3 linked regions of the Ovis aries genome follow. Each later gene encodes a partner of the first gene's protein in a complex. Links are inferred from orthologs where the notes say so. Each region holds a gene or a part of one and is shown on either strand. Other genes may lie near its edges.

Region 1 (4,166 bases):
GGTTGAGAGAAAAGGGCATCAGGTACTGGAAACAGAAGAAAACTGGTCAGTGTGATTGCTTATCTGAGCAGGGCTGCCTTCTTTGAGCTTTGAGATAAGCCTTTCCTTGGAGGGAGGGGTAGCTGTAAGGGCTAGGGCCCAAGCCATCTGAAAAGGACCCTTCCAGGGCAGAGGGAACATCACTGACTGAACCCCATGCCTTTGCCCTGAATGCCCTCCCCCTCAGCCCGGCTGGTTTCTGTCCTCCCCATCCTGCAAGTCCCTGAGCGCCAGTGTTCCTCTCTCCAAGAAACCTTCCCTCAGTCGCCTAGCTCCAGCCTCCCTCCTCTGAACTCACAAAGCACTTTGTCTGTACCTCACTCAAAGCCCTTACCCCTGAGAGGCAGTTGTGTCTATGACTTTCCCACCAGCCGAGACTGGCAGCACTGAGCTCAGAAGTAGTACTCTAGATTCTCCCTTATGCCCCCCTCCCCAGGGCCAATTTAAGCCCTAAGCCCTCCCTCTGGAAAAGTCTGTTGGAAGGATCACCATAATAAAATATTACTAGCTGCTCAGGGCATCAGAGACTTGAAACCTAATTATAATATGTATAAGGCCCACTGCTAACTGCTTTAGTGCCTCACCTCACTTAACCCTCACAACTGCCCCGTAAGACGGTTACCCTTATTATCCCCATTTTACAGATGACGAAACTGAGACTCAAGGCAAACAAGACTCATCCAAGAGCTTCTGGCGAGTAAGTGGTGGAGCACAGATTTTGAGCCTGATCTGTTTGACTCCAGAGACCAAATTCTTAGCTGCTACCCTCTAGAGAGGACTCATTCACAGACGCACCTCGGGATTCAAGAACAAGGTTTTCATTTCCTGCAGCAACTGCCGGGCCCAGGTCCGCTCATGAACCTGCTGCAGGCGAGAGGAGGCCCGCTTCAGCAATGGCTGTGTGCCACCCCACAGAGCGGCCACTAGCACCAGAGCCAGCACCTGCCCTGGATGGAGAGACGAGTGACATCCCCCGCCGCCCCACCGCACGGCCTTAGCCCTCCTCCGGTCTCCCATTCCCACCCCGCCGCTCCCACATCCCTTCTTTGCTCTCCGACGCCCCGGGTCTGATTGGCGGGTAGGACAGGCCCCGGGAAGCCGGGGAGATGGATCCTGGAGCCCAAGTTCGGGGTTGTAGCAAGGGTCGGGGTTAGGTGGTGGAGGAGGGAGTAAGAAATGAACTTGGGATAGCAGTCTGGAAGCGAGGGGAGGGGCGGGGCCCGCTTACCCAGGGTCGCCGCCATGGCAACGCCGATCCTCTCCACTTCCGGGAACAAAGGGGGCGGAGACTCGTAATCCGGAAGTGGCGCCAAAGCCTCTTCCGGTTCTACTCACGTTGCCGCTTTCCTCGCGTCACCGCCGGAATGGTGAGTTCTCCTGTGTTAAAGGTATTGCCGTAGGGGTCCGTGCTGGGGTAGGGGCCAATTCTGGGCGCTGACACTGCCGTCCTGTCCCCACAGAAGCCGATCCTGCTGCAGGGCCATGAGCGGTCCATTACTCAGATTAAGTACAACCGCGAGGGAGACCTCCTTTTCACGGTGGCGAAGGACCCTGTGAGCGTCGGCCGAAGGGCGGGCCCGCCGGGACCTTGCGGAGGGGGCTCGGGAGCGGGCGCGTTCATTCTCCCGGGGCGAAGGGTGGACAAGCTAGTTTTGCTGCGAGAAAAACCGAGGAGTGCCCCGTTCTGAGAAGTAGGGAGAGATCAGCCCGGGGTTTGGAGGGCAAGAGCATTACACCGATAGATGTGGGAAAGGACTCCATTGTTGATAGGAGGGAGTAGCCAGGGAGAAGAAAAGCAAGGGTACCTTGTGGAAAGGGGACGGGGACGTGGGTCATCTTGCTCATGGGGCGGAGAGGAGCTCATTCCGGGGAAGAACAAAACTATTCTACAAGGATAGGGGAACAGACCACCTGGAGAAGGGGGAAGTTGATCCTGGGGCGGCGAGGATAAAGACCTTAAAGAAGGTGTCCTTGGTATCATTTCAGTCATCCCTCTTCCTGCCACTCACTCACTGCAAACAGCCCCTTTGAGTACTGCATTTTGAGGCACCTCCATATGGAGAAAGTTAACCCTAGTGGCTAAACGTGGGGGCTGACACACCTGATTTGAATCCTGAGTCCTGTATTCACTAGCAGTGTGACTTTGAACATGCCATTTAACCATTATAAACTTTAAGAGCCCCTTTTTACAAAATATGGGTAGTAATAGTACCTCCCTCTTGGGGTTGTCTTTAGAATTAAATGAGATTATTCAAATAAAGAGCTTACTTGAATAAAGAGTGTTTGTGAGTACCATATTAATGTTAGACACATTTTAAATTCCTTAGACATTATTTTATTGGAGTCTCACAGCTACTCTTTGAAAAAGGCGTTATTGTCCTGGCCAGTTTACACGTGGGAAAACTGAAGTTCAGAGGGGAAAAGCACACATTTCAATAATACAGTGAGATAGTAGCAGAGCAGGGACTGGAACCTAGGTTTCTCTCCTACCAACGGCTCCTGTTTGGACAGAACACCAAAACACTACTCTTTTGCTAGGCTGATACTCAGCTTGACCTTTTATTCCTCAAAGGGTTTAGGAGTCTGGGGAAAGGCTGGTATGATGGAGACTTTTTCGCAAGCAGGAGGAGAATCCAGGAGTTGGTCTTTTTACCAGCAACCTGCTGTTCCCCAAGAGATGAGCTGGGGAGGGTCGAATCTGGCCTGGCTAGAAGCTTCTGGGGCAAAATAGGCCATGGCTCTGCCCACAATGCCTATCATCCTGTCACATTGTCCTTGATCCTCCAGATTGTCAATGTATGGTACTCTGTGAATGGTGAGAGACTGGGCACCTACATGGGCCATACCGGAGCTGTGTGGTGTGTGGACGCTGACTGTATCCTTATCTTTGTTCTGAGTCTGTGCTACCAGGGTCTGCCAGCAATGGAGAAGCTGCTGACCTGAAGCTGAGAGTTTGAGATGCTCTGGTGGGGTCTGGAGAATGATGCTACCTACCTCCTACTCCTTGGTCTGTTCACTATTTCGGGGAACATTTAGGACAGGTTCCAGTTCTGAATGAGGAGGTTAGGATGAGAGAAGGAAGGCTCTCTGGTGCTGAATAGGGAGATGATTCACTTGGCCTTCCAAGAGGACAAGGACTCAGGTGAATTCTGTTATGCTTCTTAACACCCTCTTCAGGGGACACCAAGCATGTCCTCACTGGCTCAGCTGACAACAGCTGTCGTCTCTGGGACTGTGAAACAGGTAAGCCTGGATCCTGCACTTTTTCAGCAAACAGTGAGGACCTACAATATACTTATTGAGGTCAACAGGTTCTGGGGAAATAGAGATAAAACCAGAGATGGTTCCCAGTCTAGGGAAAAAGAGACAAGAAAATCAGGAGACAGAGATGAAAAGAGGCACTCCAGTGAGATATAAGCCTTGTTAGAGGTAGCACAGTGCACTATGAAAGCTGAGGGGGAGGCACCTGAAGCCTGAAATGGGGATGGGATCAGCCCGGGAAGGCTTCCCAAAGCAAGTGTCATGTGAGGCGATAGCTGTGGCAGATGCAAGAGTGGAAGCACAGCAAGTGGCACGTCCAAGTCATCTGATCTGGCAGGAGCTCCTGCTTCTCGGGGGTGAAACAGACAGCAGTGGAGAAGCTGAGGCAGGCTAGGGCCAGACGGGCCTTGAATGTGAGCTCAGGAACATGACTGTTCTGTAGGACTTCATGCTGGGGAGGGTCCTGAGCAGGGAAGAGCCTGTTCAATTCTTTTTTTTTTTTTTAATTTTTGGCCACACCCTGTGGCAACTGGGATCTTAGTTCCCTGACCAGGGATTGAACCCACACCCCCTGCATTGGAAGGCAGAGTCTTAACCACTGCTGGGGAAGTCCCCAAGCATGTTTAGCTTTGGCAAGCCCAGGTAGCAGTGGGGAACATTGCAGGAACAGACAGAAGACAGGGGAGCCTATTGAACGGCTCCATTTAGGAAATATTTTCTGGGTACCCAGATCTCTCCCAGGTCTTTGCTGGGCACTGGTGACATGCAGAGAAGTTAGAGCAGGTCTTTGCTATGGAGAAGCACATTCTCCAGAGGTGGAGACAGATACAATGTCGTCCGTTGTGAGTGCCACAGTGGCGGGATGT
Region 2 (4,003 bases), on another chromosome or scaffold:
CTATGCCAAAACCTTTGAGTGTCTGGATCACAATAAATTGTGGAAAATTCTGAAAGAGATGGGAATACCAGACCACCTGACCTGCCTCTTGAGAAACCTACATGCAGGTCAGGAAGCAACAGTTCGAACTGGACATGGAACAGCAGCCTTTTCCAAATAGGAAAAGGAGTACGTCAAGGCTGTATATTGTCACCCTGCTTATTTAACTTCTATGCAGAGTACATCATGAGAAATGCTGGGCTGGAAGAAGCACAAGCTGGAATCACGACTGCCGGGAGAACTATCAATAACCTCAGATATGCAGGTGACACCACCCTCATGGCAGAAAGTGAAGAGGAACTAAAAAGCCTCTTGATGAAAGTGAAGGAGCAGAGTGAAAAAGTTGGCTTAAAGCTCAACATTCAGAAAACGAAGATCATGGCATCCAGTCCCATCACTTCATGGGAAATAGATGGGAAAACAGTGGAAACAGTGTCAGACTTTATTTTTGGGGGCTCCAAAATCACTGTAGATGGTGATTGCAGCCATGAAATTGAAAGATGCTTACTCCTTGGAAGAAAAGTTATGACCAACCTAGATAGTATGTTCAAAAGGAGAGACATTACTTTGCCGACTAAGTTCCATCTAGTCAAGGCTATGGTTTTTCCAGTGGTTATGTATGGATGTGAGAGTTGGACTGTGAAGAAGGCTGAGCGCCAAAGAATTGATGCTTTTGAATTGTGGTGTTGGAGAAGACTCTTGAGAGTCCCTTGGACTGCAAGGAGATCCAACCAGTCCATTCTGAAGGAGATCAGTCCTGGGTGTTCACTGGAAGGACTGATGCTAAAGCTGAACTCCAGTACTTTGGCCACCTCATGCGAAGAGTTGACTCACTGGAAAAGACCCTGATGCTGGGAGGGATTGGGGGCAGGAGGAGAAGGGGACGAACGAGGAAGAGATGGCTGGATGGCATCACCGACTTGATGGGCATGAGACTGAGTAAACTCCGGGATTTGGTGATGGACAGGGAGGCCTGGCGTGCTGCGATTCATGGGGTCGCAAAGAGTCGGACACGACTGAACTGAACTGAATACAAACCTAGGGTGGAGAATTGAGAATTGTTTCTTACCATAGAGTCCATGGGGTCGCAAAGAGTCCGACAGGACTGAGTGACTAACACTTTCACACTTTGGGAGATTATGAGTAGAGGTGAGGGTGGGGGTATGGGATGAAGGACAGAGTGAAAACTTTTCCTGGGAACCTGGAAAATGAGTGGAGCTTAAAGGAAAAAATAAGGGAGAACAAGCAAAGAGAATACAAAGGCTTGGTTTGAGATAGCTATGGCAATGTTCGTAAGATAACGGATCAACTGAAGTTTCCGTGAAATGCTACTCTCTCAAAGATAAGAGAGAGAATGTGTGTGTCAGGAGTGTGCATGATGCGGTGGACGACAGCAACCGACAGCTGCTTCATACCTAGTCTGTGTCAGCACAGTTAGATGTCTTCAGCAAGTCCCTGAAGGAAAGAGACTTCCCTAACTTTTGCAGAAGTCTGGCTACAACTACCGTCCTCTTCTCAATACACCAACTGTCTTCTACAATGGAAACTATTACAAGTTCAAGGGTTAAGAAAGAGAAATCATAAATGGGACTAAACTGGAATCACAAAAGTGCCCCGTATCTGTGATCAAGATGGAGTGAAAAATTAATCTGATGGGACCCGACGTCCCCAGATAAAAGAATACATCGTCAGAAATCCCTTTTTAGGGCTTCTCGGTTTTACTCTAACATAAAGTACCCATTTCTCAAATTTGGAACATGTCAGGGAAAAAAGTTATTTCTCCATGTAATCGTTAATACAAAGAATAGATTTGTATTGTATTAATTGTGTCCAAACGAAGAATCACAGTCTACAGTGGGGGAACGGGGGTCTATATTTCACTGGTGACTAGTATTACAGAGAGCGAGGAAAGGCGGATCAGGCTTAGACGTTTAAGAAAGCAGAATATTGAAATTCAAATGGGTTCCTGCCAAACTGGTTTACTTGCTGCGAGGGATATCTTTCTACAGATGTCCCCACTCCATTGCCAACTAGTTAGAAAAAACTTCTCGGTTAACACTCGGAAAATAAAGACCAGTAGTAGGTAAGGGGGGAAAACTTGGTCACTGGGTTTAAGGAGTCAAAAGGTTTTTGACGTCCCAGTAAGGTTGTGAACACATTTTCCGTCGATTGGGACTAATAACCGTTGAAGTGAAATGCTACTGCAAAGATTAAAAATAAAATGTGAGTCACTTGGCACACGATACTTTTTCAACAAATAACTACAAGGGAGTGAGAAGAAAGGGGGACAAGATAAAACAAGGTGGGCAGTAGAGGAGAACGTCAGTTTCCCCTGACCACTCACCCAGCAGGGTCCCGATAACTCGGGCAGCTCCCTCGTTGCGTCGCTCGTAGCTGTCCACGATGGAGGCCAAAATGACCGGGTGCAGCCGGACCACGCGGCCGCCGGGGAAGGGGCCTGGGAGAGCAGGGCCAGAGAGAGACTGTGCGGGGGTCTGCGCTGGGGCTGGCGCTGAGGCCGGGGTCTGGCCCGGAGCCGCGGTCGTAGCCGCTGCTGCTGCCGGGTCTGAGGATGACGCGGGAGCCGGCGATGGAGCTGGAGCCGGAGCCGGCGATGGAGCCGGGGCCGAGGCTGAGGCTGGGGCTGGGGCCGGGGCCGAGGCCGAGGCCGGAGATGAGGCCGCAGCTGGGGCTTCGGACGGGGTGGCGGGAGGCGCGCTCGCCGGTACTGCCGGTGTGGCCATCTTGTCGAGAGAGAAGGAGCGAGGAGCGGAAGGGAGCGAGTTGGAGAACATTAGGAGCACCATAGGCTGAACCTGCACCACGTGAACTAGGTGCTTCTGCTTACTGGCTACTGATGATGCTTCTCAGAGCTACAATTTCCGGCTCTGTGTTTGTGCTCTTTGATTTTGGTCCGATGCGCACTCAGTGAGAATCAAGCTAAGTAGTTCCGAGTAAACTTGCGACCGCCCTGGGAGGAGAGAGACACTGCCACCAGATGGAGCCATAGAGCGGTGCAAAGGTCGCAGCTGGCACTTCAATGGGATAATTGGCATCAAGGAAAGAGCTTTGTTCTTGACTGCATCCTAAGGTGTCCATACAGTGTGTCATTCATTAAACAATTTGAATATGTGCCAGACACTTTTAGGAGCTATCAGAGAGCAAAATAAAGACCATTGTCCTTGAAACTTTACGTTCTAGTAGAGAGAGACAAGTACTTTTACACGACTGAAGCGACTTAGCAGCAGCAGCAACAAATGTGTTAGTGAAGAGGGAAAGATAAAATTTTACATAAACTCCTGCTGGTTCTGCCTCTGTAACTCTAGGTCATGTAGCCTCAGAAAGTGAGGACTTAGAATACTAGGAACTGGAGCTTATCTCACGCACCCTTGTCCTGCTCTTTGTGATTGCCCAGCCCCTGCAATCCTGCTTAATCACGCGCGTCCAAGTAAAGGTCAGCCATTCATCTCCCCGTTTTGACCCCTGTTCCTGTGCCTGTGAAACGCCTTAGTTTAAATCAGCCTGTTGGCAGCTAGTGCTGTCCACTATAGTCTGTCTATAAAAACTCTGTAACTCCTTTGTTCGGGGCTCAGAGCTTGGAGTGTTAACTCCTCTGGGCCTGCTGGCTTAACAAACCTGAGTTCTCCAACTCTCCGAGTATGGTGTTTGGTTTCTCGATTACTGGTTTCTGCAACACTACGTGTGGAAGGAGCTCTGATCCTCACTCCTTGCGTAACTTTGGGCAATCTAGAGGGTTTTTATTTTAAGTTCCTGAGCCTCAGTTTCCTTTATTGCGTGAGGGGTATGATAACATCTGCCTATGAGGAAACTTGTCAATTCCTTTAGTTGGATGTGCCAGGTTCCAGCCGGCAAGGTGAGTGGGTGAGGTTGGACTTCTTAGCCCGGAACTCATGCCCAAGAACTACTTTCTCCTTGGATCTACCTTTTTTGATTAGAATTCCCT
Region 3 (3,969 bases), on another chromosome or scaffold:
CTTGCAGATTCGGCAGGACACTATCTTCTGGCCCTTGAGCTTGTTCATTGGGTCCTCCTCTTCCTGGCAGTTCAGATCCTGGCAGGGCAGGTGGTGGCAGTTCAGACGGTAGTTCAGCTGCTCCCCTGCTGCCTCCAGTAACACCCTGGCCACTGGCTCCCCCTGCCAGCCACCACACTTACCTCTTTGCTGGTGATGAATGTCATGGATACATCATCGCTGACTGTGGTGGTGGCTACGTTGGGCCCCGGTGGGTCAAATTCTGAGTTCCCAAACTTCTTCCAGTTCTGAGCTCAAGGCAGGATGGGGGACAGGTCAGGGCAAGGACAAGTGGGACCCCCTCCATTTGCACCCTAGACTTAACAAGAGCCACCTTGAGGGTGAGTGAGTCTTGAACCCTATTCACCGCCCTCAAATGCTCCTTGGAGAAGCGATGATGACAGTTGCTATTCCCTGAGGGCATGCCAGGCCCCAGCTCCATGCCAGCTCCAAGAGTAGGGGCAGCTCTCAGCCTCATGTTACAGATGAGAAAACTGAGGCTCAGGGGTAAACAGGTCCAGAGCCAACAACCCCTGGCAGGGGCTGACCAGCTTCCACCGAGTGATACTCAGGGGTGTGCAGGATCACCCAGATTTCCAGGGGCCTTGAGCTCCTTAAACAACCTGTACCTTGGCATCCTCCCCTATAAGGGACCACAATGCTCCCCACACCTCCCTGGAATGCTAGGGGAATGAATGAGAAAATACTTCCCACGAAGCACCTGAGTCTAACACCGAGTATGTAGGTAACTGTGCAAAACGTATTTACTGCCATCACTTCTGCTGCTACGACCACCTCACAGGAGGGCTTTGGCTCTGTTCCTCCCAGGCGACAAGCCGAGAGAAGTAAGAACCAACCCCTCCGCTCCCACTCCTGCACCTGCTGGACTTTTCAGGGCCCCCACGGACTGCACACAGGCCTCAGTTCTGCTCCAACAGAAGAGGTACACCCAGGGGACTTCCCCGGTGGCCCAGTGGTTAAGACTCCGCACTCTCAATGCACAAGGTGTGGTTTCAAGCCTTGCTCGGGGAACTAAGATCCCACATGCTGTGTGGTGCAACCAAACAATTAGAAAGAAACAAAAAAGCATCAGTCTCTCAATCATGTCTAACTTTTTGCGACCCTATGGACTATAGCCCACCAGGCTCCTCTGTCCATGGAATTCTCCAGGCAAGAACACTGGAGTGGGTAATCATCCCCTTCTCCAGGGTACCGTCCTGACCCAGGGATGAACCAGCATCTCCTGCATTGCAGGAAGATTCTTTACCACTGAGCCACCAGGGAAGCCACCAGGAAATTGTTTAACAAACAGTTAAACCCCACTTCTAAAAATGAAGGCAATAGGGAAAAGAACTCCTATTTTTTCTTTGAGTCAGCCCTGGAGGAGCCCCCAAGGAAGGGGGAGAAGGGTCTTACCTTCCTCCTTGCCACAGCCTTTGAGGCCTTCCGGGTCTCAATTCTGAAGGTGCGGACGATCTGTGGATAGGAGGGGAAACGTTTGGGCCTTCTGCTCCTCAAGGTTCCTAGCAGATCTTCCTCATCAAGACATCCAACACACCACTCTCTCCCTAGTCCAAGTGCCCCTCAAGCAAAGGGCTCCCACCTCTTCCCCAGCCTCACCTTGAACTTCTTGCCATCCTCATCTATCTTATACTCCGTCACTGTTTTGATGTTTCCATTGATGACCTCCTTGGGAGGTGGCAGTGGAGCTGGGAGAGAGGAAGAGACAAAGGAACTGAGCCCTGGGTAATAGGGACCAGAAGGAAGGAGGCTGGGGAGAGAGACGGCCCAGGGCTGGAGTGAAGTCGGGCACTCACCTCCCGGCAATAGCTCAGGCTCTGGACTGGTATCCCCAGTGGCCAGGGGGATCCCCTTGAGGAGCTCGCTGGTGACACATTTGTCTGTGACAGGGAGTGGAGGGAGCAGGGGTCAGCTGGGGGGTAGGGGTGGGCAGCGACAGGAACTCCCAAGCTGAAATCAAGGGACCTTTGGGATGATGCCTGCACCAGGAGCTGAGAAAGGTGGGACCAAGGGCAGAGGACTGGCCAGGAAGTGTCTTGGGATAGCCATTCAGGGACACGGAGCTGGCCGGTAGTAACTTCCAGCAATGAGAAGGGGAAGGGGATCCTTGGCCTGAGGGCCTGAGGGCCTGAGGGCCTGAGGGAAGGGGAGGGCCACAGGCATCCGGGCAATAGTATTAATACAAAGGCAGGAGTGTGGCTGTTAAACAATTTCCTGCCAGGAGCAGGGAAGCAGAAGTGCTGGCATCAAGGACTTGGGCGGTGGCACGGCAGAAGATGGGCTGGCTGGTGAACGTATGGAGTTGGAGATAGGCTGGCCCAGATGAGAGTGGCGCGGGGCAGGGGCTGGCTGTGAGGGGAGATGCAGGGTCTGACGGCGGTGCCAGGGTGGAGGATCAGAGCAGGCAGCAGTGACGGCCTGGGGCGGCGGGGGGAGGCCGGGCTGCGGTGATCCGAGGCGACAAGGTAGACTCACCGTCCTCTCCTTCCTCTTCCACCTGGTCCGCCCAACTGGGCTTCGAACTGCGGGGACAAGTTTGTCAAAAGGAGGGATGAGTGAGGCGAGGCCCAGCTCCCGCGGCCTCAACGCACCCAGGCTCTATATTAACTCCTAGGACCGCCCCCCATCCCCGGTCTGCTTACCAAACCCCCTCCACGACCCCTGACTCACTCAAAGTCTCCGGTCGGCATCGCAAAATCTCCACGCAGCCCAAGCCTGGGCCAAAGACCGGAAGTAAGAGGTGAAAGAGACTTCCGGCTCCGCTGCCTAGAGCAGCCGTAGCACTCCACAGCGCCCCCTACGGACGGAGGTAGAAGCGCCGCCTATGTGAGAGGCTGGGCCCTGGTATCTTACTATTAGAGGCTCGGCTCATTTACCTGAAAATCTTATTTATTTATTTATTTATTTGGCTGCGCTGGGTCTTAGTTGCGGCATGTAGGATCTAGTTCCTGGACCAGGAGGGCCTGCATTGGGATCACTGAATCTTAACCACCGGACCTTTTCTTTTACTTTTTTTAAAAATTAAAAATAATGACAATAAAGCTCAATTATATAGCTCTGACTGTTTGCAGGAACTGTGAGGAGGAAATTATCGTTTCCATTTTTCAGCTGAAGAAACCAAAACTGGTCTTCCTTGCCTGGAAATAACTTTTCTGATTCAAATGATCAAGATATCAAGTCACCCCCTAACTATTCTCCCTCCTTGAGTAACTCCCCCCCCCGCACTGTGAGGCTTGCAGAATCTTAATTCCCTAACCAGGTATCAGAACTGGGCGCTGCAGTGGAAGTGCAGAGTCTTAACCACTGGACCACCGGGGAATTCCTAGTAACATTCTTGGCTCCCTGATATAATCTTTTCCATTTTCTTTAATTTATTGCTTATTGTCCAGCGTTCCCTCTACTGTATGCATTCTCAGTGGGAGTGATATGACTCCCAAGGGGACCAAAATTAATTGTTCTGTGGCAAAAAAGAAACAAACAAAAAAAAAACCAACTTGGAGATGACAATGACTTGTGGCCTCCAAAGCCAACCCTCCCAGACAAAATCTTATTTCTAAACATTTAATTTCTATTGTTAGGGAGAAATTAAATGTAATTAGATTAACACTGATTTAAATGGAAGATAATTCCATTTTTCTCCTTTAGAGGGATGATAATGAAAAAAATGGTAAAAACTGCTGCAGACTTCTGCAGAAACACATTTGCCTGCTTTGTTCACTTCTGGGTCCCCAGCACCCTCAGGGTGTCTACACTTGATAAGTGCTCAATTCATGGGTATTTGGAACCGACAGGAACCAGATTATAAAGGACTTTAAAAACTAGACTAAAGATCATAGTCTCTTATATATATATTACATATATATACATGTATATATATATAACATATATAACATTTTTAAAAATATTTAT

The links. Proteins that work in one complex are often made in the same cells at the same time.
Region 2: EIF3I (region 1) and EIF3F share a complex: the UniProt entries of both Homo sapiens proteins name them as parts of the eukaryotic translation initiation factor 3 (eIF-3) complex. The link is inferred for Ovis aries from reciprocal best matches to the Homo sapiens genes EIF3I and EIF3F.
Region 3: EIF3I (region 1) and EIF3G share a complex: the UniProt entries of both Homo sapiens proteins name them as parts of the eukaryotic translation initiation factor 3 (eIF-3) complex. The link is inferred for Ovis aries from reciprocal best matches to the Homo sapiens genes EIF3I and EIF3G.

What each region holds. Positions count from the first base shown.
Region 1 is NC_056055.1:235,308,604-235,312,769, reverse strand, and holds the start of EIF3I (eukaryotic translation initiation factor 3 subunit I), read left to right. Parts: upstream 1-1,366; 5' UTR 1,367-1,403; coding exon 1,404-1,406; intron 1,407-1,499; coding exon 1,500-1,592; intron 1,593-2,826; coding exon 2,827-2,914; intron 2,915-3,216; coding exon 3,217-3,282; intron 3,283-4,166. Other genes in the region: TMEM234 (transmembrane protein 234), read right to left, coding at 1-25, 835-986, 1,268-1,283. UniProt on the Homo sapiens protein: Component of the eukaryotic translation initiation factor 3 (eIF-3) complex, which is required for several steps in the initiation of protein synthesis.
Region 2 is NC_056068.1:44,245,836-44,249,838, forward strand, and holds the start of EIF3F (eukaryotic translation initiation factor 3 subunit F), read right to left. Parts: upstream 2,801-4,003; 5' UTR 2,784-2,800; coding exon 2,384-2,783; intron 1-2,383. UniProt on the Homo sapiens protein: Component of the eukaryotic translation initiation factor 3 (eIF-3) complex, which is required for several steps in the initiation of protein synthesis.
Region 3 is NC_056058.1:12,527,644-12,531,612, forward strand, and holds the start of EIF3G (eukaryotic translation initiation factor 3 subunit G), read right to left. Parts: upstream 2,801-3,969; 5' UTR 2,751-2,800; coding exon 2,731-2,750; intron 2,583-2,730; coding exon 2,536-2,582; intron 1,941-2,535; coding exon 1,857-1,940; intron 1,749-1,856; coding exon 1,660-1,748; intron 1,516-1,659; coding exon 1,456-1,515; intron 288-1,455; coding exon 183-287; intron 79-182; coding exon 1-78. UniProt on the Homo sapiens protein: RNA-binding component of the eukaryotic translation initiation factor 3 (eIF-3) complex, which is required for several steps in the initiation of protein synthesis.